Sus scrofa: one gene and its partners. The protein of the gene in region 1 interacts with the protein of each later gene in a biochemical or structural test. Links are inferred from orthologs where the notes say so. Each region holds a gene or a part of one and is shown in the gene's direction. Other genes may lie near its edges.

Region 1 (3,500 bases):
TCCCATCATATGAATGTTTATTTGCTTGGTGGTGTCTCATAATTCATGTAGGTTTTCTTTCCTCTTTTTCATTATCTTTTTTTTTGTTGTTCCTGTAACTGGCTGATTTCAGATCTCTGAGTTATCTGATTTCTTTCTTCTGTATCATTAAGTCTGTTGTTGAAGCTCTCTATTGAATTTTTCAGTTCTGTCCGTATATTCTTCAGCTCCAGGTTTTATGTTTGATTCTTTTTTATGTTTTCTCTTTCTTAATTAAATTTCTGGTTTTGTTCATGCTTTGTTATCTTCATTTCATTTAGTTTATTTTGTTCTCTTGAATTTTTTTTCGTTTCTTTAAGGTGATTTGATTGAGTTCATTGTCAGACAAATCATAGATTTCATTTCTTTGGGGTCACTTTTGGATTTGTTTCCTTTGATGGTGTCATATGTACCTGATTTGTGTGATACATGTAGTTTTGCCTTGGTGTCTGTGCAGACACCTCTTCCAGTCTTTATTGACTGGTTTTGGCAGGTAAAGACCTTCTTCTTTCAGTCCTGATGGATATGGAGCTGTTTCTGGTCTGTGGCTGGGACCACAGTCGGGGATTTCATCTCCTTGGTACAGGCCAGTCTTCTCAAAATGGCTTTCATTGGTCTTGCAATATACTGTGGCTTCATAATCCTACATCTGAATCCCAAAGCCTCGCACAAAGGCCCTTGTATCTGTGGATAGATTCCAAATTGTTGTTGAGTGGGATACAAGTGGGAAACAGCATAACTGACAGTCTTGCTGTCATTACTCTCATCCCTCTTAAGGTATCTTCTTCACTTGGCTTTCCAGACACCACATTCTTGGTTCTCCTATTGCCCTGGTTGATCATGAATAATTTTCCTTGGTGGTTACTCCTTTTTCAAATCTCTAAATAATGGAGTATATCTCAGTGTTCAGCCCAGATTTCTGCATTTCCTGAGCTCCAGACTGGCAGGTCCAACTACCTGTTTAAATCTCTACTTGGTTATAACGGGTGTCTCAGGTTAATGTGACCAAAGCAGACATTTTCTTCCTGTCCTTCATCCCTTATATTTGCTTTTTCTCTGGTCTTCCCAACTCAGTTAAAGGCATCCACTTGCTAAGGTCAAAAGTTGGCCTAAGTTAGGCATCATCTCCGATTCCTCCTTTGACTATGTATATTTAACCTATTAGAAGTCCTTTCATTTCAGCTTTCATAATATGTCCCAGATCTTACCACTTCTTTCTATCTCCACCACTGTCTACATGATCTGAGCTGCCATCACCTGTCATAAAATCCTAATAGGTCTCCCTGATTCCGTTTTACCTCACTAAAATTTATCACAGAGTTGCCACAGTCATTCTTTTTTGAAAAAACAGATCAGATTTCATCAGTCTTCTGCTTAAAACCCTCGTAGAACATTCTAGCAAAATATAAACTCCTCGAAAGGCTGTACAAAATGTAAACTCCTTGAAAGGCTGAATCACCTTCTTCTCTGACTTTCTACCATATTTCGATTTCTTGCCTATGTCAAGCTTTTTCTTGACTATGTCAAGCTATGTCAAGCTCAAGCCTTTTTCCTGACTTGAAGCGTTCACACTTGTGTTCTCTTTGCCTGGAAGATGTCTTTCAGTATTCCCATAGCTCACTCCTTATCATTCAAATGTTTTGTCCTGGGGTTCTCTTCAGACAGGCTTTTCACGTATGTTTGATCAAAGGAGCAAATACATGTTATGTTTATATTTATTATAAAACACTTTTCCAGCAGATGGCAGTAAAGTGTCTTGAAGAGTGATGTCTTTTCGTAATTTTCACAGAAGTGCTGTGTTAGCTAACATTGACCCTGTCATTAGAAAATGCTTCCCTAATCACTCTATGTAAATTGTAGTCCTATTTCCTAGTTTGTTTTAATAACCTTAACACCCTTAGCATTGCTTTATTTTCTTCAGAATATCTGTCAATATCTGAAATCATGCTACTTCGTTAATCACATTTTTACCACATTTTTAGATGTATTTTGTGTGAACTAGTCTCCCATTTTACTGTTCTTCCCATCTTTGTTTGCTTTATTCTCTCTGCCTCATTTATCCACCTCTCTAGAGCCTGTCCATCCTTCAAATCCAGACTCTAATGCCACCTTTTCCGTGAAGTCTTTTGTCAGTTCCCCACTTTTCTAGCTGAATTGAGATAATTTCTCACCTCTAAATTTGTGTAGCATCTCAGTTTTCAAAAATAGCTGTACATTAGAATTGTTTGGGGAATTTTTAGAAGATTCCAATGCTCCATCTCTAGAGTTTCTAATTAACTAGGTGTAGGACGTAGCATGGAAAGTAGTATCTCAAAAGTATAGCCTGTTACTACACTCTCATTTGATCCTTATCAGGTTCAAACTTTTGTTGGAGTTGTAGATTGTTACATATAGCCTAATTTACTTTACCAGGATATAACCAGCAGTGAAGATTGTGTCATAGTCATTATAGTTCTGTGTATTTCTATATTCATGGAATTTACACAAATATGTCTTTTAAAATAGTTGTTCATTTTGGGCCTGGAGAAAATTCTTCAAATGATGTAGTCATGATGAATACACCTGTGGTTAAAGCTGCCTTGGAAATGGGCTTCAGTAGAAGCCTGATAAAGCGGACAATTCAGAGTAAAATCCTAACAACTGGAGAGAATTATAAAACAGTTAATGATATTGTGTCAGCACTTCTTAATGCTGAAGATGAAAAAAGAGAAGAAGAGAATGAAAGACAAACTGAAGAAACAGCCTCAGGTACTTGGGAATGGTGGTCACCTGCATTCTTTCTCAGTGGGGCTCATAGGACTGTCTCAGATGATGCAGGAGAGTGCCATCCCCATCTAGCCACTGACTGCTGTTGGCAGCCACCAGTTGTTTCCAAATTTCACATCCCCTTTTCCACCGTGGGCAGTGTATTACCCTAGTTGAGAACCACTGACTATAATTTTTTTCTGAATGTTTAGTTTCCAAGAAGATCCTTGATTTATGTTCATCAGAAGATTTTAGCATAACTTCTTTCTTTAGTGATATTGCATTTCTTCCTCAAATATAGCAGATATAAACTATTTTGAAAAAGCAAGATTTTAAAGTTGGGTTCATGTCTTAAGTTCCTTCAAATCATATTCTTAAAATGGTATTTGACTGTAATCCTTGCTTAGTGATACTTACACAAAAAAATAGAACCCAGGATGAAATCCCAGGGTTCGATGAGAAGCACCAAACCCAAAGATAGTAGAGAGCTGATTTTGGTATTCATCCAGATTGTGTTAAGCCTCAGAGTCCCAAACAGGTCTTTTGGAACAGGTCCTTCAACAAATAAGAATTGAGAATGAGCACCTGTGCCAAACACTCGTGGTGCTTACTTTCAAGGAGCTTATAGACTAGCTCTGGATACTAGTATGCCAAAGTTAGGGTTAAAAAGCCAGCAGAGGAGTTCCTGCTGTGGTGCAGCAGGTTAAGTATCTGGTGTTGTCTTTGTGGTGACTGGA
Region 2 (3,500 bases), on another chromosome or scaffold:
GTGCCAAGGCCAGATCCTTAACCCGCTGTGCCACCTGGGGCAGCATTTTTTATTTCGCTGTCCAGCACAGCCCTTTTTGCAGGCTGCGTTTCATCGCTGCTGCTCATTCTCTCATCCACTGAACATTTCCTGAGCCCCCTGGTGGGCGCTGGGAACAAGAAACCCCCGCTTGCTGAAGCTTGTGGGCTGCCTGGGAAGGTCCCCCAGGCACAGGCAGTGACGGGAGTGCAGTGATGCGATGTGGGCTGCGTCTCTGGGGTGGGGAGGAGCCCCTTAGCCCCCCTCCCCCGAACACTTAGCCCCTCCCCAGATACATTTAGCCCCTGTTCCCCCACCCCCACAGGTACACTCAGCCCCCCCCCCCAAGGTACACTTAGCCCGTGTCCCTCCTGCCCCCCAGGTACACGTAGCCCCTCCCCCAGGTATACTTAGCTCCCCCGCAGGTACACATAGCCCGTGTTCCTCTCCCCCCAGGTACAACGAGTCCCTGCTGGAGGAGGGCAGGATGATGCACAGGCTGCGACACAGCCGTGTGGTGAGGCTGCTGGGCGTCGTCATGGAGGAAGGGGACTACTCGCTGGTGATAGAGTACATGGCGAAGGGCGACCTCATGCGGGTGCTCAAGGCCCAGGTACCGCCGCTGCCCGCTGCCTGCTGCCCTGGGCCCCGGGTGAACTGCTGCGCGTTTGCCTTTCTTGAGGTCGGCCCCTCTGGTCTTCCTCGGCTTCCCTGGCCGGAAGGTGGTCTCCCCCTGCCCTCGACCCTCCCCCGCCCCTCGGCCCTGCAGACAGGCGGCGTCCTCACTGGGAAGGTCCCTCGGGGTCGCGGCGTCCTAGGCGTCGCGGTGGCTTTTGTCAGCTGCTCTCAGATCCATGTGGCCTGATGGGGGGTTTGTACATAAGGGATCACACCCCAGTACTGAAGGACTGGTTAAATGATGACACCAGAAATGACCGTGTGACAGGGTGGGACATCAGGGACTGCACTCTGATGCCACTGAAGAAACGTCCAAGTTAAACGTATAAAACCTTAGAACTATAACGCTGCGCGCGGAAGGCTGACATTGATCACCGAAGCCCAATAACTTGAAAGCCCTTGTTCAAGTTCGTGCACCTGTTAGGAGCACGGCCCTGTGCTGGCTGCTCAGGAAGCACCAGCGGATGCGCCCAGACGAGTAACGGGGCCGGACCGTAGGCCACCGGCCTGGGTGCGGGTGTTCAGAGAGGCGAGCTCTGGGGACACAGGGACAGACGGGGTAGGTGGCAAGGGTTCCAGAAGAGAGGAGGCCTGAGCCGGAGTCTGAGGCGGTGGTGTGAGGCAGAGAATCGAGGAGTGAGTGTCCCGAGCAGAGAGCGAAGGGCGGGAGCCAAGGGCCGCGAGCGCGCCCAGAGCGCGCCCAGCGTGGGAGCCTGCGGGGGGTGTGGCCGTCCTTGCGGCGCGGAGCCCCTCCCACCTTCTCCCCCGCCCCCAGCCGCGGAAGCTGCGGCTGGGAGGTCAGACGGCTCCCGCGGGTAGCGGGGGAGGCTCAGCCGAAGTCGCTTCCACACGCTGTGTTTGCTCTGACCGCTCTTCTCCCCAAACTGGAGAAGAGGCGCGAGGCAGGCAGGCGTTTTGATGGGGGCAGATCGTCCGGGACCGAGACCCTCTGCGCCTTCCGGCAAAGGGAAGGCGTCCGGCAGAAACCCAGGAGGGTGCGGGAGCAGCAGAGAGGGAAAGGCACAGGGTCCCCCTGCACGCCCGGAGTGTCCCCGAGGTCCAAAGGTGCCTCAGAACAGGGGTCTCCAGCGTCGTGTGCACGCGGTGGCCGCCAGGCTGTCCCGCTGCAGCACCACTTAGCGACGTTTTGAGGGGCTGACGTGGGAATCTGACTTCTGACGTTTCAGTTTTTTCCTCTTTACCAACAACCAACATTCACAAATTTTTAGAAAACTGTGTGTTTGTAGACTAAGGACTGTACACACGCTCACACACGCACGCACCCAGTGAGAGTTTGCGTTTTCACTGTTAAGCAAGACTAATGTGTGACTGCTTTTACTAGTAGCTGGAGTTGTCTGTGTTCACACTGGTATTCGTATAGTTAAGACTGTGCCACGTGCACAGGTGAGAGTGACCTGAGAGTCTACAACGCCGTGAACGCTCTGGTTCCAGGCCCCACAGCGACAGCCACCCGCTTGAGCGTTGTCACCACCACATCGTGTCACCTCATGGGTGACCCTTTATGTGCTTTTAACCAGCGTGGGCCCGTCCCCTTGTGTGCGTGTCCTCGGACCCTTCTGTGTCACACGTGTCCGCGCCATGGTCGTATTTAACCCAGAGGAGCGCCTGGCACGCGCGTGCTCACCCGCAGACTCCCCGGCGCCGTGCATGGGGGTCAGGTCGCATCCTAAGTGGTGACGATAAGAACAGCACGGTCTGGACCTCAAGGGGCTTCATCCTCCGGCACTTTTGCACATGGCCTGTGGCGGCGCAGCTGGCTCTGGACCCTGATGGATCACGGCCCGGACGCCGCGGCCCTCGGGAGGACACCTTTCGGAAGGGGCACTCCGTCCCCTGGAAGGAGCGGGGCTCTGGCCGCGTGGCCTCCCCCCTCACGGTCTCCCGTCGCTCGTTCTAGACCCCCGTCCCTCTGTCTGTGAAGGGGAGGATAGTCATGGAGACCATCGAAGGCATGCGCTACCTGCACGGCGAGGGCGTCATCCACAAGGACCTCAAGCCCGAGAACATCCTCGTTGACGACGACTTTCACATCAAGGTAAACCTCAGCCAGGGCTCCCGCCGCCCGGGAGCGGCCCTTCCATTCGCCCCGCGTCGCGGGCTCGGGCTTGGTAGACGCCCGCGGAAGGAAGAGCCAGCCCAGCTTGTGCCTGGTGGTAGTGGTGCCAGACAGCCCTGCCAGGGAGTGGAAAGACAGATACAGCCTTGGTGGAGCTTACAGCTTTTGTTTATTCATTCGCACTCCTCTCCCTTTTTTTATTTTTATTTAAAAAATTTTTTTAATGGCCTCGCCTCCAGCACATGGAGGTTCCCAAACTCTAGGGGTCGAATGGGAGCTGCAGCTGCTGGCCTGCACCAAAGCCACAGCCACGCCAGATCCTCAACCCACTGAGCGAGACCAGGGATCAAACCCACGTCCTCATGGATGCTAGTTGGGTTCTTAACCTGCTGAGCCACAGCGGGAACTCACCTTTCTCTCCTTTTTAAAATCAGGTTCCTTTTGAACATTTGTTTCCATTGTAGTGGAGAGAAAATGGGAACAGGGCTTTTCTTGCTCCCTGGAGAGCAGGGTTAACCAGCAGGGATTGAGTGCAGGCCCCTGAACGCGAAGTGGCATTTGCGAGAGGACTCAGGGTCTGCCTGCACGGCGTCCCGTTGCCAGGAGAGTCTGCCTCTGACACGCTGCTGTCGTCTGATGGGAGTTTTTATTCCCGTGTTTCTACAAGAAGATTCTGGGTGTTGATAACGTACCTCTTCTATTCTGGGCTGGAATTTGAGGATTTTGG
Region 3 (4,094 bases), on another chromosome or scaffold:
GTTGTGGGTTTGATCTCTGGCCTCGCTCAGTGGGTTAAGGACCTGACGTTGCCATGAGCTGTGGTGTAGGTCGCAAACGCGGCTCAGATCTGGTGTCGTGTGGCTGTGGTGTAGGCCGGCAGCTGTAGCTTCGATTAGACCCCTAGCCTGGGAACCTCCATATTTCCCGGAAGCGGCCCTAAAAAAGACAAAAGACAAAAAAAAAAAAAAAAAAAGATACTTGGACAAACGCGTTCATCCCAGCCTTGTGTCTGAAAATAGAGACACTGGTTATATATAAAGTAAGGTATATGTGCCTAATGGAACCAAGAGGAAGCCGTGATGACAAATGTTTTAACAGGGACTCAGTAGCATTTCCCAATTTCGCCTAAGTCATGTTCATTACGTATATAAAGATGCAACTAGGAGTTCCCGTCGTGGCGCAGTGGTTAACGAATCCGACTAGGAACCATGAGGTTGCGGGTTCGGTCCCTGCCCTTGCTCAGTGGGTTAACGATCCGGCGTTGCCCTGAGCTGTGGTGTAGGTTGCAGACTCGGCTCGGATCCCGCGTTGCTGTGGCTCTGGCGTAGGCCGGCGGCTACAGCTCCGATTCGACCCCTAGCCTGAGAACCTCCATATGCCGCGGGAGTGGCCCAAGAAATAGCAAAATGACAAAAAACAAAACAAAACAAAAAGATGCAACTAGATTGAAATACGCCAAAATATTTGCACTTTAATGGTCCGCTAACAGAGCATTATGTCCAGAACTTTGGTGCAAAGCATTAAAACCTAGCAAACAGTCAACACATTACAAACAGTGAATTACAAATAATCAGAATATGCCTAAGAGGAACAAAGTTCAACACATTTTTGGCTGAATGAACATTGGTTATCTCCGAATACGGTGCCGGCGACGCTCTTCGTTACAGTTTTCAATTCCGAATTTTCTAGAAGGACCTTGCCAACATCCCCTAAGTTGGAAGTGTCACTAAAAAGGGGGGCTCCCATGCCCCTCATGCCCTCGGACGGTCTCGGGCGCGAGTCGATGTGGGGGAAGCCGAGACCCCTCCCGCGGCGGAACCCCTCCCGCGGCGGAACCCAGGCGGGGAGGGCGGGGCCCGGACCGCGTTCCAGGCGCACCAAGATGGCGGCCGGCGCGCCCCGCGTTCGGAGCCGAGCGCTCCCGAGCGTTCCCGAAGCCGACAGGAACCTCGGGAGCCGCGCGGGTGGGATCGGCCCCGCCCCGGAGTCTGGGAGCGGCGGCGCCGGGCGGGGGAGGGGAGGCCGGATGTGAGTGGAGCGGCCATTTCCTGTTTCTCTGCAGTTTTCCCCAGCTTTGGGTGGTGGCTGCTGCTGGGCTCCCGCTTCCCGTCGGCGGAGGGCGAGGCGGCGTGGACCGCGGCCCCGGCACCCCGCGCCCTGCCGCCCGCAGCCGCGCGCCCGCCCGCCCGCCGCGCCCCGAGCTCCGAGCTCCTCGCCTCAGTGCCCGGCCGCCGCCGCCGCCGCGGCCCAGCGAGCGGCCCAGATGCAGGCCATCAAGTGTGTGGTGGTGGGAGACGGGTGAGTGCGCGGGCCTGGCCGGGGCCGGGGGCCGGGGGCCGGGGGGCCGGGGGGCCGGGGGCGGGCGGGCGCCGCGGGCTCGCGCGGGGCCTGGCCGGGCCTCTCCGGGGCGGGGGTCGCGGGCCGCCCCCTCTCGGGACCCGGCGGCGCGCGCGCCTGGTTCCGGCTTTTTTTGGGTGGGGGAGGGAGGGAATCGGCGAGCGGCGGCTGGAGGGAAAACTGAACTCCACCCTCCCGCTTTCTCGCAGGCCGGCTGACCGCCCGGCCGAACCCGCCCAGCGCCTCGCCGCCACCCTCCCTCCGTGGCCCGTAGATTGGGTGGGTTTAGGGAGTTGCCTTTCTTGGTGTTTCCATGAAGCTCTCGAGCCGCAGGGAGAACCTCGGTGGGTCCCTGCGGTCCCAGGTCGGTCGTGTTGGAGGACTGTGTACACGGGCTGCTTTGGGGACCCTAGGCGGATCTGCTGGGGGGTGCCTTCCGCCTGTACTTTGCCACTTTTCTGATTTTCTTAAGTGATGCTGTTTGCTATTAAGGTGGAGAAACTTTGCAGATTTCTAGCTGCGAGGAGCTGGGTGCGATTAAGACTGTTCTTTTCTCTGAACGTGGTGTAGTCAAAAAGAAAAAAAAGAAAAGAAAAAGCTGGCTCTGCGTTCGCTCCTGCGTTGGGTATGGCATGTAGCAGAACTGGCTCCTGGGCCGAGCTGTCCTGTGACTCAAGGCATTTCTTTTCATTACAGCCTGTGGTGGTTACAGGCCCTAGAGGAAGACAAGACTTGTCTTATGCAGTTTTTTTTTTTTTCTCCTCTGGAAACAAGAATCTCAGTGTAATCCGAGCAAAATTGTGTGTCTCAGCCTTGCTCAAGTAGAGGAGCCTTCTAACAAGGAAGCTCCAAGAATTACTGCCAGTTTTCAGCAAACTCCGAATGCAACTGGTACATATTTCGAGTCTTGTCGAGTAGAAGGAAGAGTTCTGGCTTCACTATACCCCAAAGTCGTCGTTAGGACTGGTGCTGCTTTTATGCCTCTTGGTGAATGTGTGCGTTTTTTGTTTTATTTAGATCATTGCCAATAAAACGTTTGAAATTGTTCCTATAACTAATTCCGATCCATGAAGGACAGTTAGAGAACTGATTTTTTTTTTTTTTTAAAGATGCTCTCTGTATGATTTGTCAGGCTTACAGATGTGAAGCTTGGTAGTTCTAGCTTTATCAGTAGAAATTGTAAGTTTCCCCTACCTAGGAACCTGTATGGAACTTTTTTTTTTAACCCTTTGAAAGAAAGCTTTAATGGAGGAGGTGTTAACTGGGGGAATGGTGAAATTAGTAAATTTGTTTAAATGAAATTTTGATCCTTTTGCTACTGAATTAAACATGTCCCTTTGTCTTGGCATTTTAAATTGTCTGGATTTCCTTTAAAAACTAAAAATGCTGCATCAGCAATGTTTAGAACTTGAAATAATACTATTTTTTAAGAAAGTCAGATTGCTAATAATGTTTTATCTAATTCTAGGATGTAATATTCTTATCTGAAAATTTGTAAAACTGAAACATAAGCCCAGCAGATAGATTCAGTTTGCTTGATCTCACAGATGGACTCTCCTGTTCTGTTGGCTTGTTTACGTAGTCAAATACCTGTTGAATGCCTGCTGTGGCGTCTGGATCTTTACTTGAAATCCCCACCTCACCACTTAGAGGGAGACCCTGAGCAAATCTCTCATCCTTCAAGAGAGGTGCCTCAGGAGGAAATTGTGAGGCTTGAGTAAAATGCTGGTTATTAAGTGCCTCACAGGTGCCTGGCCCTTACTGAGTGCTTATGAGTGTCAGCTGCCAGTATTGTTCTTATTCTGTTTCTGTTACTCTTTGGCACTGCTAGGCTCTGTGAAGGGCATATTGAGCATAAAACATAGTGGCTGAGCACTGTCAGTCATTTCTGTTGTTGTTTGGTTGGTTTTTTTTTTTTTTTTTTTCCTTCTTGCCTTTTCTAGGGCCACTCCCACAGCATATGGAGGTTCCCAGGCTAGGGGTCGAATCAGAACTGTGACCCCCAGCCTACACCACAGCCACGCCAGATCCAAGCCGTGTCTGCGACCTACCCCTCAGCTCACAGCAATGCCGGATCCTTAACCCACTGAGCAAGGCCAGGGATCGAACCCACAACCTCATGGTTCCTAGTTGGATTCGTTAACCACAGAGCTACGACGGGAACTCCAATGGAAGTTCTCAGGCTAGGGGTCAAATTGGAACTACAGCTGCCAGTCTACATCACAGCCATGGCAACACCACAGCCACGGCAACACCAGATCCCTGACCCATGTCCCAGGCCAGGGATTGAACCTGCATCCTCATGGATACTAGTCAGATTCGTTTCCGCTGTGCCACAATGGGAACTCCAAAATAAATAAAAATATTATTAGGAGGAGTTCCCTGGTGGCTCAGTGGGTTAAGGATCTGGCATCCCTGCTGTGGTGTGGGTTTGATCCCTGGTCTGGGAACTTCAGCCTACCATAGGCTCAATCAAAAAAATTTTTTGGGGGGGATTCTTTAATTAAAAGCCGTT
Region 4 (4,111 bases), on another chromosome or scaffold:
TTTTATAGAGCACTTTCAACATATTAGGTATTGTGGCATGTTATATGTATATCAGTTAATTTTTACAATAACATATCTAGAGATTTTGACATGAGGAAACTGAGGCTTAGAGAGTTTAATTGACTACACAACCACACAGTGGGTACGAATCAGAGCTGGGATCCCATTCCAGGAGAGGATCTGTCTACAAAGCCCTCCCTCCAGCCAAGCTTCGTGGGCTCCCACCCAGTTCATGGTAGAGATCAGAGACTGGAACTCCAGGCCACTCTGACTCTTGAGAAGGGGAGCTAGTGACAAAAAAGCCAAAGCCAGAGGAGTAAAAACCCCAACTACCCTAGTGCTCTGGTAGGCGGTAAGTATTTTAAAAAGCAAAAGGTAGCCAGCAATGAAATAGGTCAAAAACGTCATGGAGGAAAAGGAGCGAACTCGATTTGGGAAGTAGAAGCTCAAGTGCGACTCTGGTGAGAAGCGAGTTCTGCTGGTGCTGAAAGCAGAAGCCAAGTTTTATTGAGCACACACGTTCATAAGAATTGAGTGAGTGAGGAGCGCGAGGAGACTATGGGGACAGAGCAGGTACTACTGGTCTGTCAACGGAAAGGAAGGAGGATGAAACTCAGAATTGGGAGTTCCAAGAAGAAGCAAACATGGTGGGATTAGCATCAGATAGAAGGGGCGACTTTTGAAATAGGAATTAAGGAGGTAAGGTGTCTTAACTGGTATAAGTCTGTGCATATGTGAGAAATTGACGCAATTCAAGTATTTGAGAAGAGGGTAAAATCTGTAAACGTAAAAAAAAGCAAGATGAGCTACAGCACGTCAGAAATTCTTGTACATGTTTTTCAAGCTAATTTGTTATCCTCATTTTACAGAATGGGGACTCCACTTCAGTACCTTGCTCAAAATCCAACTGCAGAGACCTACTCAACCCGGGGTAGTTCTGAGATCAGCCTGCGGGTCTAGGTCATCTGTGAGCAACGCACCCCCGCCCCGGGCGGCGGCCAGGAAGAGCCGGAACTACACTTCCCAAAGTGCCCGGCGGGATGGGGCGGGGCGGGGCGGGGCGGACACAGCCTCCTTCCCAGAAGCAAAAGCGGAAACAAAAGAGTCTCACCGGCGTCCCCGCCCGCATACTGGCGCTGGGGCGCACTCGGAACGGGCAGCGGCTCCCGGAGCGAGCGAGAGAGCAGCAAGCCGGGACCCTCCCGGCTGAGCCAGCCGAATAGCCAGCGAACCGAGTCCGCAACGATCCCACGCCTCCGAGCCCCGAAGCCGTCCCCCACCGGCCAGTGTCCCCGCTGTCCTCCCTGACCCATGGCGCTGAAGCGGATTCAGAAAGTGAGTGCCGGGGCCCGGTCTGGGGCGGGGGCTTCAGCCCCCTGCCCACGCTGAGCCCGGCGGTGGTCTGAGAGTTGTGCCTGGAGGGAACGTGAAAGAAGGATGGGCCGGGGCGGGAACCAGGGGCCAGGGATGCTGGCGGGGCCAGCGGGCACCCGACAGGTGAGGTGGGAGCAGCGGCAGGTCCCGGGCGCTGGAGGTGCTGGGAGGCAGGGGGCCCGCCGTGCGCTCTCTCAGGACCTGCGCCCGGAGCCCCGGCCGGAGATCGTTTCGGTCTCCAGACCTTCCCGAAATCTGTGCTTCTCGGTCGCGCCTGAATTTTGTCCTATACCGGGCGAGTTTTGGCCCTTGTCATGCTGCTTTCTTCAAGCTGTTTCTTAAGCCGGTTCTCTTTTATGTTCTTGTCTCCCTGGACTCCCGGGGAGGGCAAGGAAGGTGTGGTGGGCCTGCAGCCTTCCTCCGCGGAGCCCTTGGATTTGTTCTTTCTCTCCTCTGAGGTTGGCTCTTGCTCAGATGCCCGAATGGGCTGGAAAAGCCTGTTTGGGGCCGAGAAGCCTCCTGCCCCTTCTATTTTGGTCCCTCTGCTGCTGCCACTTCAGGTCACATAGCTGTAGTGAAAACATAGTTGCTGATACACAGCAAGATGACCTCCTGGCTGTGATTCATGGCAAGTCAAGCCAAGCAGGTTTTTTTTACCCCTCATGATAAACTTAGGTGTAAAGTTTGAGACACAACAGAAACTGCCACAAATTTAATTGTTTGATGTTTTGACACATGGGTATAGAATGAGGAAGAAATGTGTACGTTCATTAAAGAAATGTTTGTCTATCCCAAACGCAGTGTAAGGTATTGTCTTCTCTTGCATAGTATCTATTGCTACTGTCTCTACATGAACATCTTACAAAATTGGGTTGGGGCATTTTCTTTCTGTTCACTTTTACTTCTTGTTAGGTGATTTGGTCTGTTCACTGACACAAGTTTTAGGTTTTATTGGTATGTTTCATGTGGAGAACATTGAGAATTTGTTATTTTAATGGGAGTTAGGTTCAGCAAGTTAAGCCAACAATGGACAGTATGTTTTGTAAAGGATTTCAGAAGAAATCCTACCGAAAAAATTTATCAACCTTTTCAGGCATGAATCAAAAGAACAGTGATAGAGATGTTTTCTTAGTCACCATTGGTGGCATCTTCTGGTACAGAGGACAGCAACTTTCTAGAACCAGCCAATTTTGGGGGGGGAGAGTCAAATACTAAATCTGTGGAATATTGTTAATTTTTGTACTTTTTAAAGTTCCTCTCGCTATAAAGCCCATAGCTAATGATCAGCATTTATTGATTAGTATGTTTTCTGGTTTGAAGATAATGCAGTTACACATTTTTTTTTAATAGATAATTCTAATCTGAAGCCTCACTCAGCATCTTTGCCATGCCTTGTGTACTTATTAATGATGATGTAATATTGGCTCTCATTTGAAGTAAACCACACACATTTTTCCAAGTAAGTCTTAAAAATTACATTTTCTTCTTCTCTAGTTGTGAGAATTTTTTACAAAGCTTTACACATATAATAGCTTTTAAGTAGTGTAGAATTTGTCCACAGTAGACAAAGGAAATTGTCATTATTTGTAAATATACTGGGCAACTATCAATCACCATGCTGAGCCAGTATATTTGATTTGTATTTATAATATGGCATATACCCAAATCATATTTTCAGCTCTTAGTTTGTAACAGAGTTGTCTGGTTAAGAAAATATTCTTACGTAGAATTGATGTCAGATCTGTAACAAATTGATAGTTTGGGGAGGAGATTTGGGGTCACATAACATCCCATCTCTATGTGTCAGTCTTTGGCTTTCCTTCTCTGTTGTCAGAAAAGTTGACTTGCATAAATCTCTCTTCCATGTTCAAACAATTCCCTCAAACTTTAGAAGGTATTTGTTTTGATTCCCCACTTTTCCTCTTGCCTTACCTACCCCCTTGATTAAAAAAGAATTCCAGAGAATGTGTGCTGTTTGCCATATGAACACTTACAAAGCCCTATTTGATAGCATCATTATACAGATTCTCTTTGAATTTTGCATGCTTCAACAAAAGAAAATGCATAGTAATGTTTGGCCTTTCTTTTTAAGTGTATTAAAGGAATACTGTCAGTTGCCTTCCAGGTCCTCTGGGTTGTTATTTTCCTGTACCTGCAGTGGCAGCCTATAGAACTGCAGAACCTCAAAGAACTCTGCAGTAGCAGAGTGGAGTGGAGAGAAGGGGAACAGCTTCTAGGGTAGTGTATCAGAATCACCTCTGAGAGATGTATTGCAGGCTGTCCCCACTGCTGTCCATGACTGCTGTCAGTTGTAGAATCCCTCAGATGGGCTGGGGTGGAAAGAAGGCTGAGAACCACTGACATTCTAGTCTAGTCTCCTTGTTAGTCAGAGGAGTCTGAGGTTTGGAGTGGAGTGCTTTGTCCAAGTTAATCTCTTAAGAAGTGATTTGGCATATTTGAGAATGTTAAAAAGTTCATGATTTCACATTTCTTCACTTCATATGAAAAGATTAAGGATGGTTGAATTAAAATTGTATGAATATACAAAGCATGTGGAGATGAGTGCTTAAAATATATTTTTATGCTAGAGTACGGTAAATGATTTAATACTCTAATTTAGACATCCAGTGCCAGTTTTTACATTTCAGCTCATAAATTTACACACTCATGCCCTATTTTTAGATACAGTGGAAGATGTTATCATAGTCACCTAAATCACTAAAGGGAAGAAATTTGA
Region 5 (3,500 bases), on another chromosome or scaffold:
AGAAATTTTTGCTTTTTAAATAAATAATTTAAATTATATATTTTCAAATACTTGAATAACACTTAATAATATTATTACTTTCTTTGGTCATTGTTTTTAAGTTACTGTATTGTTTTCACTTAGAGTTATTGTAGTTATATTTTCTTTTTTTTTTTTAATCCTTGTGTCAACTCTATAAATCTGTTAGGGAAAGAGTATCATCTCCACTTTGTATATAAAATAACTGATATTCAAGGAAGTAGTCACATAACACCCTGCATAGCTGAGAGTAGAATGGCCAGTCTAAGAGTAGAATAAGATTTAGCTTAATAAGATTTAATTTAAATTAAGTTAATATAATAAGATTTTTCATAAAGAAATTTCTGAAAACAAAGATCACCATTTAGAATGCCTTGTTTTCTTTGAGTTTCCTACATTTTTTTAGTTCTTTGAACTGACTGTTCTAATTCAGGTTTTCATAAATAGCATCTCTTACATCTTGAGTAATAAAACTGAATCAAAACTGTCTTTCCTTAATATTCCATTTCGTTTCTTTTAGTTCATAGATAATTTAATTGTCATTAACGGACTGTTTAAGAAAAATTATGTTAGTAATTAACAACATTACTTAATCAGGAATTCCCTTGTGGTTCAGTAGGTTAAGGATGCGGTGTTGTCACTGCCACGGCTTGGGTTGCTGCTGGGGCATGGGTTTGAGCCCTAGCCCAGGAACTTCTGTGTGCCACGGGCACAACCAAAAAGAAAAAAAAAAAAAACAATATTGCATGATCAAAAATATTTCAGTAAATTTAAAAGCACAGAAAAAACTTATATAACAGAGGTGGATCCAAAGATGAGTTTTGAAGTTTCATATGAAAATATATGTAACAAATGTTAATTGGACTCTGTATGAAAAGTACTATGCTAGATAGATTATATACACAGACGAATAGTAGTCTTTCCTCCTAAAACTTCGTAGACCTGTAATGGAGCAGACAGTCATTAAGCATGGATGATGAAGGACTGGGTGTGAATCCCACCAATGTCTAAAGTTCTCTAGAGCAGTTGCCATTATATTGGTTTGGGGAAGAAAAGAAGACTGACGGGTTTGTTTTTAAATCACTCAGTAGTGATGACTACTAATCCAAGCCTAGCTTAAGAGAGTAAATCACTAACCAATTTTACATTGATGGTACTAAATTGTTTGGTACTAAACAATTTTAGTACCAAAATTATAGCATTTAAATAAATAATTCTGCTTTAAAAAGCTACTATTTATTGAATGTTTCAAAGTAATGTTACTTCTCATCTTCTTTACAATAATACTGCAGAACAGGTATTATCTCCAGTTTACAAATAAGTAAACTAAGATTAAATCTTATGCCCAGAATCAAACAGATATCCTGGGATTCTAAGCCAGATCTGATTGACCCCTATCATTCCTTTAGGGTACTCTTCCTCCTTCACTTATTCCAGCCCTCAATTTCTTATCTACAAAATGAAAATAATAATAGACAATAGTGAATGCTTATAGCTATGGATAGATAGACACACAAATTGAAATTTATTAAGCACATAATTTGAACCAGATACTTTTATATTCATTATCTCACTTAATCTCTAGATTGATCCTGCATGTAGATATTATTGTTTTAAAAGATGAATTTTCTCAAGGTAATCAGTTAATATGAGATAGAATTCAGAGCCTGTGTCTTTAAAGTTATTTCCCCTATTCTACATTATCTCTGCTATAAATTATATACTATATTCTTAACTGATGGAGATTTTCTTTCCTTTGATTTTTTTGTATAAACATATAAAATATGTTAAATAGACTGCATTTCACTCATATAATTTACTAATCACTTCTAATTCAAGTAATATATGTATTATTTATTCCAGTTGCAAAGTGCTTCCAGTACTGTTCACTTATGTGACAAGAAGAAAACAGAGTTATATCCGAACACATCTGTAAATCATGGTTCACAAGAGGTAAAAAAAAATATGTTGATTAACTCAAAATGTGAGAAAAATATGAAAAATCAGTCTATCTTGCTCTTTTATAAATGGGAAGCTAAAGTCCAGGAAGATTTTAGGATTTGTTAGGTAGCCCATGGCAATCTCCAATTTGAAAGCCAGCTCCCCTAATTCTCAGTTCTTGGTTCATTTCATCAAATCACAGTCCTTGTTTCCTTCATAGGCATTGTTTTATGTAATGAACAGTGTTCCAGTGTAGTTCATAGGCAAATCATCAACACAGTTCTGCCACTATATTTATACTTTCTTATCCAAATGTAAAAAAGCTATAATACTAGTTCTTAACCTCTTACAATGATTAATAAAAGGAAAATACCATTTGTGTGGCTATCCAAAAAGAAAGATTTCTTTAGTAGCACTCATTCAGAATTATTTCACAGTAATCATATCTTTTAAGAATATATATGTTGGAGTTCCCGTCGTGGCTCAGTGGTTAACGAATCCAACTAGGAACCATGAGGTTGCGGGTTCGATCCCTAGCCTTGCTCAGTGGGTTAAGAATCCAGCGTTGCTGTGAGCTGTGGTGAAGGTTGCAGACGCGGCTCAGATCCTGCATTGCTGTGGCTGTGGCGTAGGCCGACGGCTACGGCTCTGATTAGACCCCTAGCCTGGGAATCTCCACATGCCGTGAGAGTGGCCCAAGAAATGGCAAAAAAAAAAAAAAGAATATATATGTTCTCTTTACAGATTCAGTAAAGTAATGATACCTTTAAAATGAACCTTAAAACTCAGTATAGTATTTGAATCACCTTTATATACACTCTCTCATTGGATCTTTGAGCCCATACATGCACATTTTGGGGTAAATATTACAAGAAAAGAACCTGAGAGCCATATTGTTTAAATGTCTTGCCAACACTTAGCAGTAATCCTATGACAGAGCTAGGATTAGGGCCAAGTTTTACATTACTTTTTCTATGGGTTCTCATTCTTCCATGTTGAAGGAACCTGAGGTATTGAGAATAGGCATTTGCTCTAAATTACTAGGTAATCAGAGTTGCAGATCTCAAATTTTTCATCAGCTGGACATAGTATTAATATTTTGTACATAATCTCAGCTCTTCTGGAATTATGTACAAAATACTGAAAAACTCATATTTTAATATATTTAATTATTTCCCCATCCCCCAATTTGACCTGATTTAAAAAATCAAGTTCATTTTTGTTATTTTATATATGTGTTTAATTTTGTAAGGTATAATTTGTGTTAGTTTTGATTCTTTGTTTGTAATAAGCCAAAAGCAAGAATAATTTTTTAAATGATTTTTCATTAACCTAAATCATTTATCTATTATTTACTTTAGGAATCATGTGGATCTTCGCAGCTTCATAAACCTAGTAATTCTCCAGGAACCTCAAAGTCCCTGTCAGCTACTCAAGACAGTGACTTTTTATCTAGTATGTAAATTTTTCAGCCAATATTAATGGCAGGTTTTCCGTTTTCTTTCAAAATCATATTTTGACAAGCAGTCTTTGTTTGTATG
Region 6 (4,139 bases), on another chromosome or scaffold:
CCTCTCTGAGCCTCAGATTCTGTATCTATAATACCAGCAGAGGGATTAGTTGTGAAGGTGGCTCCCATATCTAACACCGTGTTTCATCTTATTTCACGAATAACCTGCAAAACTTGAATTCATAAATGCGATAAATCATAGGGTAACCTATTTGCCCTACTAATAGGCTTTTTATTCCATTTCTCAAATGATTCACCACTGAATTCCTTCAAAAAGAAAATTAACTCTGTGTCTACCATGACTTGGCTCGCCTTGACATTTCAGAAACATGGCTGTTAAAGAAAAGAGTAGCGCAGCCTGTCTTAGTCTGTTCTGGCTGCTATAACAAAAGACAGAAACTGAATAGCTTATAAACACCAGAAACGTATTCTTCACAGTTCTGGAGGCCAGAAGGCTAAGATCAGGGTGCCAGCATGGTTGGGTTCTAGTCAGAGCCCACGTTGGGGTAGCCGACTGCAATTTCTATGTCCTCACATGATAGAAAAGGCCAGGATGCTCAGCCTGGCCTCTTTTATCAAGGCACTAATCCCACTCACCAGGGCTCCACCTTCCTGATTTAAGCACCTCCCAAAGGCCCCCACCTCCTAATGCCATCATTTTGGAGATTTAGTTTCAACATAGGAATTTGGCAGGGAGGTAGGTGGCCCAAACAACCTATAGCACATCCATAGTGGAAATAGTGTAACTGCCTGTTTGAAATATTCAGGAATTCAGGATTCTGGCAGAAGGTAATAAATTATAATCACTCCCTTACACTTGCCTGCGGCCAGTCTTCCTTAAATCAAGGAAGCGTCCTTACCTGGTAAGATATTATGGACGATATTGAAGTCTCAGGCCCAGGGGACAGCAAACAAAAAGACGAGATGCGTTCTTGCCTAATGATGCACGACGAAGAAGGTTCGTTCCTTTCACTGAAGGCGTTGATAGTTCTTTCAAAGCAAACATCTCTGGTATGAATAAAACTGTCAGGTCTCCTTAGCTATTTACACTTCAGTGTAACTGCATGCATAAGCTGCTCCCCCGAGGAATCTTGGAGAGCAAGGCCTTGGAGGCCTCAGCTGGAGGTCCCAGGTTGAATAAAGACAAAAGTGGGAGCATGCATGGGTGTTGGGGGACCTGGGGATGCAAGGCTGGGGGTTAGGTGGCACGAGTGAAAGTACCATATTAGACTCTCTCCCGTTTTAGACTAACTCATGGCCAAGTACCCAGTGGCTGACACATGAGGGCGCTCAATAAATAGTCCATGAATGATTCTGGCGCTACGTCCCGGCCAGCAGGCTCTGTTAAGAGGTGTGGACGTGCTCTGCAGAAAACTGTTAGTTCCTGCCGCCCACGCGTGAGGAAGGCGCGTCAGCGAATGGAAGCAAGTTCTGAGCGGCAGGAGACCACGGCGGCTCCCTCGGCTGGCCCTAGGGAGACGGTAACTCAGGAAGATGCGGGCACCCAGTCCCCCGCATAGACGATCAGGGTCAGGATTTGGCTGAGGAGGAGCCGTTGGGCCTTTGGAACAGGTCCCAGGGCCGGTGCGGAGGCCGAAGTCGCGGTGTAGACCGGAGGCAGCGGGAGGGCAGGAAGGTGGACTCTGACCAGCGCCCCATTATCAAGCGCCGCGAAGTCGGCAGGGCGCACTCTTCAGTCCGCCCGACTGGGACGCTGCGTGCGCCGGGTCTGCGGAGCGCGCCCTTCAGGTCACTTGGAGCGCAGTGGACGCTGCAGAACTTTCTCCTGGAGATTGCGCGCGCAGCTCCGGGACCCCTGTGGATCTCTGCAAACTTTGCCCAGGACGCGTCCGGTGCGCGCGACCAGCTTTGCCTGCCGAGGGCGCCCTCCGCGACGACGCGCGCGACCGTGAGAGCGCGCCCTCCCCGACGGGGCGCGGCGGCGCGGTGGTCCCGCGCGCGGCCGACTCTGAGAAGCGCGGGGTCCCGAGTCGGAGGCGGGGCCCGCAGCCCCGCCCGCCGGGTCGGCGTCCTGCCCGGGGCGACTCCTCCCCTGGCCGCGTTGCGGCTTTACTTTCGCTTTCGTTGGAGCGGCCGCAGACCCTCGGGGCGGAGGGACTGAGACAGCACCAGTTCTGGACGCCGTGGGAACGGTAACTTCGGCCGCCGCGCTTCCGCCCTGCCCTCCTTTCGCCCGCGTTCTCCCTGGCCGTCCGGCTGCCCTCGCTCCTGCCACCCCGAGCGCCGTCGGTGGGATTCGATCCCCAGGGACTGGGCGGCCCCGACGGCTCCACTGAACTTGAGGGAGAGAGCTCTGCCCGCCCCCAACATCACTTGCTTGCTCAGCTTGTCCCTCCCTTCCCTCCTAGTCGCCGGGCTTGGGTCACCGGTGCTCTTCGGGATTTGGCAGAGAAGGGGGGATGGATTTGGAAGGGTGGGAAGGGCCTGGGCTGGCTAACAGTGAGAGCTCCCTTGTGGGGCAGCCGTGGGTTCAGTCCCCCCCTCCCCCCCACTCTGTTTCTCTGCTGTGAGGCCTTGGCCCTCTCTGTGCCCGTCTGTGTAATGGGGATAGTGGTGGGCCCGGGGTGGCGGCTGCTGCGAGGATGGAGTGAGGGGGTTGGGGCGCAGAGCAGTGCTGTCAGGGTGTGTAAGCTCCTGTCATCCCCTCATCACTGTGCCTGGTGCAGGGCGCTGGAAGATTCTTTGAGGAAGTGGAAGAAGGCAGGACTCTCAGGCTGCAGCTCTTCGCCGTTGTATTCACCTTTGGCTTTTGTGGGGCAGTAAAATTATTTGTGGGTGAGTCTAGTGAGTCATTCCCAAGCTTTCTCCCTTGAACTCCTGGGCTGGCTAAGGGCATGGCCCTAAGGTTTGTTTGCTTACAGACTGTTTCCTCCTTCAGGGTCCACAGCCAGACTTTCATCTAGGATAGCCAGCCACTGTCTAGGTTCATAATTCACTTCTGTCTTCTATTAGCTGTGTGGTTTAGGGCAGGTTACTTAATCCCTCTGAGGAAACCAAAGTTTCTTCAATACAGGATCAAGGCTCCAGCTTCCTAGCAGTCGTGTATCAGTTGTCAGTGGAGTACTTCAGTGCCCAGCAGAGCCCTCTCCTTCCCCAGATGCTGGAGGTGAGAGGTGGAGGTCCTGTGGGCTTCTTCTCTTGGAGCCTTTTAGGGTGATTGTCTTCACTGGGACACAAGTGAGGTACCAGTCGTGTTGTGTCATTTTCCAGGGGAAGCAGCTGCAAAGAAATTCAGACAATGGCTGGGAGGTGACCTGTACCAGTCACCTATGAAGCTGTGTGTGGAAATAATTGCTAGAGGAGTGTTCTGTTTCAGTTTCCACAAAAGGTGCTTAAAACATGAATGTGATTTCAAGGTACTGGTGAGGGTTGACAGTTGGCTGTTGCCTTAGTCTTGAGTTCTGCGGAGAGCGGTGATAACAGGGAATATTTATTGAAGGTTTAGACACCATGTTTAGCATTTTACATGCATCGTTTTGTTCATCCTCAGAGTCACATGTGACTTAGGCATCACCGTTTTCCCATTTTACAGATGAGGAGACTGAGGCTTAGAGAGATTGAGTAGTTTGTTCAATGTCTGTGGCTAATAGATGGAGGCACTGATCGAACCTTAGATCTTTGGTTCATCATGACTGGGCTCTCAAGCATCCTCAAGCATCCTCCTGGATCTCTTTGGTTCTGTTGTCTGTCCCATATCAACAATTTATTCAGGGCTGTGAAAGATTTAAAGTTTTTAAGTATATTTCAGTTTTCACATTGATAAAGAAATTTTCGTTGAGTGCCTACTGTGCACCTGGCACTTTTCTTTGACTGGAACTAAAAAAAAAGGATGTTTAGGAGAAGCTCTCAGCCTACAAAAAGACCCTAGTGGATAATAGTGAAAGTATCCATAATCACTGAGTGCTTACGGAGAGTGCCTGTAACAGCGCCAGCACTGCTAATGCTTTAAGTGTTTTATATGTCAATTTATTTAAAGAGAATATAGATGTGTTTAACAATTGAATAAGCAATTATCTGTTGAATAACTGCCTGCTCCTTGCAGTCTGAGTCTTACGAAGGGAACAGATAAAAGCAAATAATGCCAGGCAGGCCTTCTCCAGGCACAGCTGACCGAGATAGGCCTGGATTGTCTTGGGCTGTGGAGATGAGTGGAAATAAAAGGGCATCACAAAGTCTTGG
Region 7 (4,199 bases), on another chromosome or scaffold:
CCTGGAAGAAGTGATATTTATACTGTGGCCTAGGGATCTCATTCTTTATTATTATTATTATTATTTTTAGTACTAAATCTTATTTTTTTATTACTCAATGAATTTATCACATCCGTAAGGGATCTCATTCTTGATTGCATCTTAGCTACCTTTTATTGTTTGTTTCACTTTTGGCCACCCTGAGGCATATGGAGTTCCAGGCCAGGAATCAGATCTGAGCCACAGTTGCAACCTACACCACAGCTGTGGTAAGTCCGATCCTTTAATCCACTGTGCCAGGCTGGGAATAGAATCTACATCCTGGCACTACAGAGATGACACCGATCCCATTGTGCCACAGAGGAAACTCCAGCTACTTTTTTTTTGATGGGCCCATCCCCACCAGATGGCAGGCAAGTTCATAGAAATTATCAAGCCTTTCACATATCTGCCCTCAGCGCTGGCACAAAGCCTGGCACAGAGGAGAGGACAATATAACTCAAATCAGCTGAACTGAGCAATGAGAAGTGGCTGATGGGGAGGTCCTGTGGCCTCTGGTTGCTCAGCACACTCACCTCCTCCCTTTGTAAAATCTAACATGGAATTACCTTAATAGTTGAAATCTGTGTCATATGTAAACATTTGTTACCTCAGTTTCCCTCCAGCCCCTTTCACTAAACTGTTAGATCCTTAGGGCCAGGAGTCAAGAAGGGGGCACAGAGCAGACTCTCAAAACATTTGTTGGGGTTCCCAAAGTGGCTCAGCGGAAATGAATCCGACTAGGAACCATGAGGTTGTGGGTTCGATCCCTGGCCTTGCTCAGTGGGTTAAGGATCCAGCGTTGTGGTGAGCAGTGATGTAGGTGGCAGACAGGTCTCAGATCTGATGTTGCTGTGGCTGTGGCCTTGGCTGGCAGCTACAGCTCTGATTTGACCCCCAGCCTGGGAACCTTCCAGGGGGTACCCTAAAAAGCAAAAAAAAAAAAAAAAAAAAAAAAAAAAGGTTTGTTGAATGAACGAAGGAATCAGTTCAAGCAGAAGCTGTGCTTTGGTTGTTGAAGCGATTCCAGCTACAGGAGGCTTTGGAGAAAAGCCCCAAGCTGTACTGGGTCAGACATTCCTCTCCATTTTCTGGCAACTCCTTCTGCTTGTGCTCTGGGTGGAAGGGATAAGGTGGGCGCAGGATTTGAAAGTAAATGGCATTGGTGGGGCAAGTTGAGGAAAGATGTGGCTGGGGTTTTGTAGGTGGGCTTGAGATCCTGGAAAAGAGAAACTGCGTTTGCAGTTTCTAGAGTTATGGCCTGAGGGTGTTGGAGCACCCACAGGTGGGGGTTCTGGGAGGTCACGTGGGGTCTGTGGATAGCGATCTGTGCACAACACACGTTCTGTTGTAAAAGCCTCCACTAAAGGGTATCAACAGGATGGGGTGCGTCGAAGAGGGGGTGGGGCCACCACTCCCCACACAGGGCCGTCCCCTCTAGGGGCGGGGAGTGCGAACGCGCCTGGCACCGCCCCGACAAAGCCTGCGCGCGCCCCATCCTGCGATTGGCGGTGCTTCCTCGCGCCGCCGCCCCGTCCCGCCCTCCGCCGCCGGTCCGGCGCGCTGCAACCAATGGGCGCCGTCGCCGTCGCCTCCGTCACAGCCAGGACAGCCAATAGGCGCAGCGCTCGGCGGCTCGTGGCTCTTTCGCGGCAAAAAGGATTTGGCGCGTAAAAGTGGCCGGGACTTTGCAGGCAGCGGCGGCCGGGGGCGGAGCGGGATCCGGAGCGGGATCGAGCCCTCGCCTCGGCCTGCTGCCATGGGCCCGCGCCGCCGCCGCCGACTGCCACCCGGGCCGCGCGGGCCGTGAGCGCCATGGCCGTGGCCCCCGCGGGCGGCCCATGCGCGCCGGCGCTGGAGGCCCTGCTCGGGGCCGGCGCGCTGCGGCTGCTCGACTCCTCGCAGATCGTCATCATCTCCACCGCGCAGGACGCCAGCGCCCCAGCGGCCCCCGCCGGCCCCGCCGCGCCCGCCACCGGCCCCCGCGACCCCGACCTGCTGCTCTTCGCCACGCCGCAGGCGCCCCGGCCCACCCCCAGCGCGCCGCGCCCCGCGCTCGGCCGCCCGCCGGTACGGACACCAGGGACACTGGGCCAAGTGCGCTGCCTGGACCCCGGCGTAGACCCGGGCGGGGCGCTATGTTTGGCCTGGAGGCGGCGAGGGCGGGGGAGGGTGGGTTGAGGCGCCCAGGCTGGGCGGTGCCGAGCTTGGGTTGGGCCTTCGGGCTCCGCCCCGGGGTGCAGGGTGACCTCGGGCCAGTCCTTGTTTGCTCCTCTGTGCTCTGGGCCTCAGCTTCTTCGCTGGAGCCTGTCTAGGGTCAGACTCAATGATAATAATGGCCCACGTGTATTCAGCTGTTGCTGACTGCCTGCCAGGCCTCTGGCAGACTTCAAGGCAGCTAAAACTCACATCCATGCTGTGAGCTAGCTCTGTGTTGTCACTGTGCCCATCTGAACTGTGCCCAGAGAGGGGAAGTGGCTTGCCCCCTGGTCACAAGGCTGCAAGTGGGATTTGAACTGAGGCCTGCTGGCTTCAGACCAGAACTTGTGGCTGGATGGTGGGCACGGCTGCTTGGGGAAGTCAGGGGAAAGTTCTGGGACCAGAAAGTTGAAGGGCCATTGAGGAGACCCTCCTTCCTGCCTGGATGCTGGACTGCCAGGTGCAGGCCTAGCCCTCCGGGCCTCTGGGGACAGGCCGCCTGGCTGGGAGGCCTTCTCTGCAGGGGCGGGGTGGCTGGGCCAGCTGCTGATTCCCCTCCCTCTGCCTGTCCTTCCATCTGCCACCCTCCACCCTCCCAGACTCTGGTTGCCATGGAAGCTCATTAATCAGGCAGGCAGACCCCTGGCCCCAGTGGAAGTACTGGGTGGGCTGGGCCTCTGGGAGCTGGAGAGGAGGCCCCCAGTGCTAGAAAAGAGTAAATGCCCCAGGGAGATGCCTTGATAAAGTGCTCCCTGAGCAGCAAGAGGCTTAAGACCAATTCAGATTGGGGGGGGGCTCAGAAGAGACCGCTGAGTTACAGGGGGAGAAGGGGGTGGAGGCCTGGAGCTTGGACCTGTGGGCCGCAGGACAGGGTGTGGAGACCAGTTTGACTGGCGCAGCCTGTGGGTAAGGGTAGGGCATGGATGGGCAGGCAGGGGCCAGCCAAGCAGTATGGGGTCTCAGCACAGGGCTTGGAGCAAGTGGGAGGGGAGAGGCAAAGCCCAGGGCAAGGAAGTAGTATCTGCCCAATTACTGTTGGGGGACTGGGTGGCAGCTGGTCCCTGAGGCATCCCACCAAGGTTCCCCCAGTCCCCCTGGCCCCTTGCCCAGTGTGGCCTTCCTTCCGGAATCACTAAGATGCTAATAATAACAATAGCAGCCACCATTATTTTGAGACTGTTTTGTGTGTTAGGCCCTGTGCCAAGCACTTTACCCAATTAACTCATTTAACCCTCTCAACAACTTTCCCCTTTTCCAGGTCGGGAAGCTGAGGCCTAGAGAGGTTAGAACCTTCCCTAGTTACTCAGCTAGTGAGTTGTGAGACCAGTCCAGATTTCCTGAGTGGTTAACCACTAGGATGCCTCGCTTCCTGGAGATGCTAATAGAGGTTGATGAAAGCACAGGACCCCTTCCTCCTAATGAGTGAGGGGGATGGAAATTGTACCGGGGTGGGTCGCTTGGCTGGTCTCCTGCACCTCAGCAACCTGTTACTGCAAGTACCAGCTTGGGGCCTGGACAGGTAGCTTCCATTTAGCTAATTGATAGTACTTGGCTGTGGGGCCTGCCCTCGGCAGTCTGAGCTCTAGGTTCAGAGGGACAGCCAGAGACTGGGCCAAAGACATGCCCTGTGCTCCACTCCTTATGGTGCCGGGGGCAGCCTCAGTGGGCCTGAGCATTCCCTTCATTCAGCACTTGTTGGTGAGTGCCTATGAGGTACTAGGCAGAGGCAGGTAAGGAGCCTCTGCCCCTCAGTGCTTAAGGGCTAGTAGACATTTTTCGCCGTGGGCAGGGGTGGGGGCTGGTGCTGTCTTGGAGCTGAAGTTGAGAAACATGGGCCCAGGTTTTGCCTTGAACATTGTACCTTTCGGTAGCCACTGGCCACCTGAGCTCTGGCCTCCACTGACCCTCGGCACTGGCATTTGTTTGGGGCAGCCCATGAAACAAGCTACAGACTCAGCTTCTGCACAGGTGAGCATTCACCG

Evidence for each region.
Region 2: of the proteins of baculoviral IAP repeat-containing protein 2 (region 1) and RIPK1, one has a biochemical effect on the other in vitro, tested with the Homo sapiens proteins (6 studies listed by BioGRID, with this or other methods). The link is inferred for Sus scrofa from reciprocal best matches to the Homo sapiens genes BIRC2 and RIPK1.
Region 3: the proteins of baculoviral IAP repeat-containing protein 2 (region 1) and RAC1 form a complex in vitro, tested with the Homo sapiens proteins (2 studies listed by BioGRID and IntAct, with this or other methods). The link is inferred for Sus scrofa from reciprocal best matches to the Homo sapiens genes BIRC2 and RAC1.
Region 4: the proteins of baculoviral IAP repeat-containing protein 2 (region 1) and UBE2D1 form a complex in vitro, tested with the Homo sapiens proteins (11 studies listed by BioGRID). The link is inferred for Sus scrofa from reciprocal best matches to the Homo sapiens genes BIRC2 and UBE2D1.
Region 5: the proteins of baculoviral IAP repeat-containing protein 2 (region 1) and RIPK2 form a complex in vitro, tested with the Homo sapiens proteins (4 studies listed by BioGRID, with this or other methods). The link is inferred for Sus scrofa from reciprocal best matches to the Homo sapiens genes BIRC2 and RIPK2.
Region 6: the proteins of baculoviral IAP repeat-containing protein 2 (region 1) and CASP7 form a complex in vitro, tested with the Homo sapiens proteins (2 studies listed by BioGRID, with this or other methods). The link is inferred for Sus scrofa from reciprocal best matches to the Homo sapiens genes BIRC2 and CASP7.
Region 7: the proteins of baculoviral IAP repeat-containing protein 2 (region 1) and E2F1 form a complex in vitro, tested with the Homo sapiens proteins (2 studies listed by BioGRID, with this or other methods). The link is inferred for Sus scrofa from reciprocal best matches to the Homo sapiens genes BIRC2 and E2F1.

What each region holds. Positions count from the first base shown.
Region 1 is NC_010451.4:33,055,107-33,058,606, forward strand, and holds part of baculoviral IAP repeat-containing protein 2, read left to right. Parts: intron 1-2,523; coding exon 2,524-2,766; intron 2,767-3,500. UniProt on the Homo sapiens protein: Multi-functional protein which regulates not only caspases and apoptosis, but also modulates inflammatory signaling and immunity, mitogenic kinase signaling, and cell proliferation, as well as cell invasion and metastasis.
Region 2 is NC_010449.5:1,858,143-1,861,642, forward strand, and holds part of RIPK1 (receptor-interacting serine/threonine-protein kinase 1), read left to right. Parts: intron 1-474; coding exon 475-631; intron 632-2,614; coding exon 2,615-2,752; intron 2,753-3,500. UniProt on the Homo sapiens protein: Serine-threonine kinase which is a key regulator of TNF-mediated apoptosis, necroptosis and inflammatory pathways.
Region 3 is NC_010445.4:4,800,711-4,804,804, reverse strand, and holds the start of RAC1 (ras-related C3 botulinum toxin substrate 3), read left to right. Parts: upstream 1-1,294; 5' UTR 1,295-1,505; coding exon 1,506-1,540; intron 1,541-4,094. UniProt on the Homo sapiens protein: Plasma membrane-associated small GTPase which cycles between active GTP-bound and inactive GDP-bound states.
Region 4 is NC_010456.5:92,327,414-92,331,524, reverse strand, and holds the start of UBE2D1 (UB2D1), read left to right. Parts: upstream 1-1,311; coding exon 1,312-1,335; intron 1,336-4,111.
Region 5 is NC_010446.5:47,030,134-47,033,633, reverse strand, and holds part of RIPK2 (receptor-interacting serine/threonine-protein kinase 2), read left to right. Parts: intron 1-1,881; coding exon 1,882-1,971; intron 1,972-3,320; coding exon 3,321-3,414; intron 3,415-3,500.
Region 6 is NC_010456.5:124,016,531-124,020,669, forward strand, and holds the start of CASP7 (caspase-7), read left to right. Parts: upstream 1-1,339; 5' UTR 1,340-1,357; coding exon of another isoform or gene 1,358-1,363; exon of another isoform or gene 1,364-2,735; intron 2,736-4,139. UniProt on the Homo sapiens protein: Thiol protease involved in different programmed cell death processes, such as apoptosis, pyroptosis or granzyme-mediated programmed cell death, by proteolytically cleaving target proteins.
Region 7 is NC_010459.5:37,187,319-37,191,517, reverse strand, and holds the start of E2F1 (transcription factor E2F1), read left to right. Parts: upstream 1-1,399; coding exon 1,400-1,404; intron 1,405-1,459; coding exon 1,460-1,571; intron 1,572-1,695; coding exon 1,696-2,088; intron 2,089-4,199. UniProt on the Homo sapiens protein: Transcription activator that binds DNA cooperatively with DP proteins through the E2 recognition site, 5'-TTTC[CG]CGC-3' found in the promoter region of a number of genes whose products are involved in cell cycle regulation or in DNA replication.